2 linked regions of the Solanum lycopersicum genome follow. The main gene of each other region encodes a partner of the protein of the gene in region 2 in a complex. Links are inferred from orthologs where the notes say so. Each region holds a gene or a part of one and is shown on either strand. Other genes may lie near its edges.

Region 1 (3,763 bases), on a different chromosome or scaffold from region 2:
ACCATGTTTGTATATTCGCAAGAGAAATATACAAACGAACAAGCGAAATATATAAACGCAACCTCCATAGCAAATGAAATTATAATTATGAAGCGCAATTATTGAAACTATAGCTACACAGTCTTATTATATCTATGATCTTTGATTCAAACTTGAAATGAATTTACATGGTCATATTCGTTTAATTTGTATTAATATCATGGTAGATGGATTAGATAGATGAAAATATTATTGTCGTTCTTTTGTATTGAATTTTGGATATACATAAAAGAAAGATACAGTATACGTACAGTTGCTTAATAATTAAAGGAAAAATTATATAAAATATCAAATTATTAATTCAAATTAATGTTATAATCATACTTTGATTTAATTGTAACTCGTAGCAAACAATTGTCATTCACCTCTCTCCCCGACGAATTTCGCTTGCCACTCTCCCAGGTCTTGCTCGTCACTCTCCCTCGTCTCACTCACTTTATACAAAAGGCAAATGAATAAATTGTGTTTGTATTTGTATAAAGCGGGAGAAAATTATATGTACACATACATATAATTTCGTCATATACACTTATAATTATACAAATACAGATTTCCTCTACAAGTTCTCTTTTGTCATTCTCTCTTTCTCGCTTTATATAAACACAAATTACAATGTATACTTTGTGTTATATAACTCGAGAGAGAGAGCGATTTGATATACAAATGTTTTATTTCGATACATTGTATACAAATTCAAATTTTATGCAGATATACAAACACATAAAATTGAATTTAGAGGTTGTCAACGATTTATACAAACGAGAGGCTGCCAATGATTTAATGTACCATAGCAAGTATAAAATTTGGTATGGGCCGCAATTATACAAACTATAGTTATAGTATACAAATATGATTTTTTATGTTTGCTAAACCTAAACTTACTTATAATTAAATAGTTTCCTATTGAAATAATTATTTCTGTATGAATGTCGTCGATATTTTCCTCCTTTTTTCTCCCTTATTTTTGTCATAAGTTGGAAAAAAATTTAAAATTTTGAAATATTGGTGAAAATATTTTTTTAAAATAGTTTTAAAATAATTTTTATAATGGTAAGCAAAAAAAAAATCTGGTTTATGGCTAAGAGAGGCTAATTTATTTTGTTTAAAGCATTTTGAATAATCTCATTTAAATAGACATTTACGTTCTCCAATTCTGGATATGTACAATTACAAGCAGACATATAAATATGTATATAATTAAACAAGTAGACACATCCTATGTGACATCGTACGTGACAATTTGCATCCTATATAATGTCCTACGTGCATTATATCACGTAGTACGTCTGTTTATGTTTGTTCAATGTTATATAAATTTAAGTGTTGATTTATCTACAATCAAAGTTGAAAGACATAGATGTCAGATGAAATCAAGTTAAAAGGGGTCGGAAATTGTGGTAACACAATAAGAGACTAAATAGATATTAAAAAAAAAATATAAAACCATAATATATAATAGCCTTATCCACGTATAGCCTTAACCATTCAAAATATATGGATAATAAAGTTAGAAAACATAGAGTAAACAAGCAAGAACAGAGCAACACTACTCAACAACAATGGAGAATTCTTTAACACTTTCACTACTCTCCACAATTCCAGTTCCCAATTCAGTATTCTCAACAAAATGGAGTGTTCTTTTTCGAGGAAATCCATGTTCGATTTCCTCGAAAATTGGTACAAAATGTGGTGGATTTAGATCATCAACAAGATTGTATGCAGGACTAACAGAGATAGAACCAGATATCAACGAAGATCCTGTTGATCGATGGAGAACTAATGGCATTGACATTGTAATGTTTCTTTTCTTTTCTTCGTTGTTTTTAAATAATTGTAGTGTTTGAGTAAGTTTAATATCTTTCATCAACATAGATATCGAATAATTTTGATATAATACAAAATGTCCTTTTAACTTGGCTTTTTTTAACTGACAAATGTATCTATTTTTTCAATTTTATATAAGTCTCTATTTGTGTACATCGAAAATAAGAGGATATAGATGTAACTGAAACAAAATTGAAGGGCATATTTATATATTTATGTAATAATTTTTTTTTTATTGAAATTTTGACGGATTTATTTTAAGGCAGACGCATGTTAACTAATTTTATTTTATTTTAATTTGTTGCAGGAAGATTATGTTTTTGGAAAATACGATGATCATCATACGTACTTTGAAAGTGAAGATAAAAAAGGTACATAACAATATGTGTGTGTTTTTTTCGATTTAATTTGTAATTTGAATTGAAAAATATCTAAATTTGTCCAATGTATTATTATATGAATTCGATCAAGTTAGTCTTCGTTCGACTTTTCGTTTAATAAATCGTTTCATATTTGTCCAACGTGAAATTGGTGAACTCCACGTGTTCAAATTCTTCGAAAAACACAATATTTGAGTAGCTATTTTTACAAAAATAGGTAAATGTATTTATACTTAAACTATACTTAATTCTATATCACTTGCATTTTCAGTATCATTTTGGGGATCCATAGCAGAAGATTATGCTGCTATTGCACCCCCAACAGGATTTCAAGGTATGTAACAAATTACCATAATAATATGATCATTAACTTAGTCATTTACTTTTCGCACTTTGACTAATTTCACGAAATACTTTCCATCAGCAACAAGTATCAGCTAACTCTATCCATCTACCAACACCGATTGTGGTTCACTGGTGGGAGTGTTTCACTCTTAACCACAGGTCTCGGGTTTGAGTATTGGATATGATCTATTGAGAAAATCATGTTGGGAGCGTCACCCTCAAATATAGGACCTGCAATGTGCGATTCGAATTTAGTCGTAATTCCAATGTAAGCTCCGGACATCGGGTGGAAAAAAAAAACTCTATTCATCCACAGTGGATAAGACAAATGAAAGGATCACCTAGAATTTTTCTTCTCTCGCTGAGAATTGAACGTGATGAGACCTCGTGACTCTTAACCAGTTCATTGACCACTAGGGCACACCCTTGAGTGCTTCTTTAGTTATTTACTTAAAATAACTTATTTTTCTGGTGTTCGACAATAGGTATCATTTCATGGCTGTTTCCTCCAGCAATAGTTGCAGGAATGTACTTCAATGTTCCTGTAAGTTAATGACTAAATCTCTACTATATTACACATTTTTCGAGGCTCGAAAACACCCGTTTCCAGCAACTAAAAGTCTTGTATTTTCACTTCTTTGACAATGCAGGGGGAGTATTTGTACATTGGAGCAGCTGTGTTTACAATTGTGTTCTGTATCATTGAGATGGACAAACCAAGTGAAGCACACAATTTCGAGCCTCAAATATATAACATGGAGAGAGGTGCGCGAGATAAGTTAATATCGGATTATAACACAATGGACATTTGGGAATTCAACGAAAAATATGGTGATTTATGGGATTTTACTGTTAAGAAGGACGATATCATGAAACGATAGAAATAAAAAAGAACAACGAATTCATATGTTCTGAATATATCATTAAGGTATCTAAATGAATCGCGTAATGATCATTGGATTTCATCGATTACTCGAAGATGCATATGATCTGGTGTTGTTCCATGGTTGTACTATATGTTTCTTAACTACATTGAGATGAAAAAAAAACTCTAATGAACTCCCTAGCTGAAGAATTACACTGTATATATAAGGTCAAAGTTATATATTTCTTATTAGTATATGTCAAATCCCTTTATCAATTCTTTATATTTTGAATTTCCTTAATAAAAATTC
Region 2 (2,737 bases):
GAAAAAAATTACGACTTTAATGAAGAGTTACGACTTTTATGAAAAGTTGTGACTTTTATAAAATGTCGTGACCTATCCGATGAGTTGCAACTTTTCTAAATAGTTGTAACTTTTCTGATAAGGCACAATAAACATTTCTCACGCTACTCTTTGTTTGTCTATAAATAGAGGGATTTTCTCTCCTTTTAAAAGAACGAAAATTCTGTCTCTCTTCTTCTTCTTTTTCACAATTAAATATTTGTGTACATTGCTCCGGTTAGTGACTCACTGCCACCATTGTTTATGTTACAGATTCTAGTATATATTTTTACAATCATTAATTTATACTTATGTTATTAAGATTAAATTATAAGATGTAATAATTTTCATTTTTTTTTACATTATCAATAGTTGTTCTTACATAATCTTGTATGTAAGATAATATAGTGTGTTAGTTTTAAAGTCTAGTAAGTTTTACATATTATTTTAAAATTTTTGTGGAAAAAAACGAATAATTTTATAATAAAGTAGGTTGAATATAGATGAGGTAAGCTTAAATATATGGAGTGGTGTAGATATAGGAAATCTCAAACAAATTTGAAGCTATTGCAATTTTGATTGGGGGTATTGATACAATGCTTAGATGATTAGGAATATGAAAACCACAGTATAAAATACCCTTTTGCCACCAATGATTAGGTAGATAACATTTGTATTGTGTATAATCCATTTGGGAAAAGTTCTCAAAACAGACAGAGAAGGTGAAAGTTTCTTATACATTGTTACAACTGCATTTTTTGCTACTCATTGTTTCAATATAGTCAACATTGTTACCTGAATTTACTGGTTTACATCTTCCATTTGTCCATTGTAATTGAACCCAACTCTTGGTTTCCCCATACTGAAGTTAAGAACTCTTGCATTCATGTTGTATTGGATTTCTCCATTATAGAGAAGTTTTCTTATGTAGTGCTCTATGTCTGAACCTATCAGGCGAAGCGTGTACTCCGTCAATGGAGCTCCCTGGTCCAGATCATAAAAAGTTATTGGAGTTAGCATTTCTATTTCTAATCCATTTGGTACAAGAGTGATTGCATGATTAAGCTTGTATTGATGAAGAGAAGTTTTCATTACCTCATAATGATCAACAAGTTCTTGGAAGTAAGAATAGACTTTGGTACAAGTATCATCAGTCCACACAAATTCATCAGTAGGGTCAAGAAGGAGTGTGAGTTTATCCATTTGTGTTTGATCGAAAGCAAAGGTTTCGGGATCAATATAAGCTGCATATATTCGAACATGTCTAGTAGCACTACTGAGCCATTGTCCTCCATGTTCTCTGGTCATGTTCTTGCTCTGCACATTTATTTGTGGTTCTACTGGCCTTGGCTTCTTCATTGCCCCCTCTTCTTGTTTTTCTTCTTCTTTCTTTTCTTCCTCTTTTTTTAGTTTTAACTCTTCAACTTCTGCTTGCTGTGCTGAAACTGAGAAGAAGTTTCTCCTTTTGAGTTGTTTATTCTTTCCCTTTGTGCTCCAACTTAACATGCTGAAATGGGTTGAAGCCATGTATGTTGAAGTTGCTGCCATGTTTCCCCCTTTCTCCTAGTGTTTTGTTATGTGTGATTTTTATGGCCTTTTCTTGAATGTTGGTATTGGGATATTAATATATCCTCCTTTTTGTGTGGATAGGAAATGTTTGCTTACATATGGCTTCTTTTTATTATCTTATATTTTTTTTGTTCTGTGGCTGTGCTTAATAAAAGGTTAATTACAAATTACTCACTTTGAGGTACTTAAATTACTTTCGTTTTTATCCCTGTTAAACCAGGTTTAAAGGTTTGGTTAATTAGTGAATCCGAGCCATGAAAGATAAGTATGCAGGGCGTTTCACTTATATAGACAAAACCAAAAAATTTAAGTTCAGAAGTTCGTATGGTGGTGGATCTATTAAAAACAATCTTTTTTATCCGTGTATTCATCACTACAAAAAAAGAATGCTTACCTGTCAAAAGTAAAATAAACATAACACCAGCTGATTGAATCTACAGGTTCATTATCACCTGTGATAAAGACTCAATAAGAGAGTTCAGATTGACTTGAAAATTGTTAAAGAACAAAAGTCAAACAGCTTCCAATAAAGACTTGTACATAGGGGATAAGATTTTCATTTCCTTTAATTCTCTCACTATAACAACAGTTTTCTTGTTCTATCTCACACAACAGATTTTGCGAAACAAAAAATATGCCTAATCCTAAGACCTATACCTAAGTAATTAACTAAAAGCCTAACAATAAAAAGAAAAAAAATTGCTCTGCACTAGCAGAACACTACATAAACCTAATTACACAACCTCATTTACAATGGTGAGGCTACTCTGATACATAGCTTGTGGTCATATCACTTGGGCTATCTATATAGGGAGATGAACCTACAGACCTATTCCTATTTATCAGACGCACGGGCTTAATAAGCTCATCGAGATCATCCAGTTGCATCTCTGCTGGACCACTCTCGCAAAGTGGCTTTTCCTCGCTTCTCTGATCAATAGTCTGTTCCTCTTCGTCACTACCATCTAGGCTAATAAAATCGACAAACTTCCCTTCAAGGAATATGTCATTATTCCCCTTGACAGAAGGCTTCTCTGATCCAGCTGTTATGCACTCAGAAATATGAATGTGCGGAGAGCCAAAGTAACGACCTCGACCATTCTTTAACTCGCTCAAAGCTTTCCTTTTCGCTCCCTTCCTTCTGTTCTTC

What was found. Proteins that work in one complex are often made in the same cells at the same time.
Region 1: ORR (region 2) and photosynthetic NDH subunit of subcomplex B 5, chloroplastic share a complex: the UniProt entries of both Arabidopsis thaliana proteins name them as parts of the chloroplast NDH complex. The link is inferred for Solanum lycopersicum from reciprocal best matches to the Arabidopsis thaliana genes NdhM and PnsB5.

The regions. Positions count from the first base shown.
Region 1 is NC_090808.1:66,330,415-66,334,177, forward strand, and holds photosynthetic NDH subunit of subcomplex B 5, chloroplastic, read left to right. Parts: upstream 1-1,505; 5' UTR 1,506-1,598; coding exon 1,599-1,832; intron 1,833-2,170; coding exon 2,171-2,234; intron 2,235-2,514; coding exon 2,515-2,577; intron 2,578-3,073; coding exon 3,074-3,132; intron 3,133-3,238; coding exon 3,239-3,469; 3' UTR 3,470-3,710; downstream 3,711-3,763. UniProt on the Arabidopsis thaliana protein: NDH shuttles electrons from NAD(P)H:plastoquinone, via FMN and iron-sulfur (Fe-S) centers, to quinones in the photosynthetic chain and possibly in a chloroplast respiratory chain.
Region 2 is NC_090803.1:56,432,237-56,434,973, forward strand, and holds ORR (NAD(P)H-quinone oxidoreductase subunit M, chloroplastic), read right to left. Parts: upstream 1,677-2,737; 5' UTR 1,567-1,676; coding exon 1,114-1,566; intron 1,003-1,113; coding exon 820-1,002; 3' UTR 660-819; downstream 1-659. Other genes in the region: uncharacterized protein At1g21580, read right to left, coding at 2,350-2,737. UniProt on the Arabidopsis thaliana protein: NDH shuttles electrons from NAD(P)H:plastoquinone, via FMN and iron-sulfur (Fe-S) centers, to quinones in the photosynthetic chain and possibly in a chloroplast respiratory chain.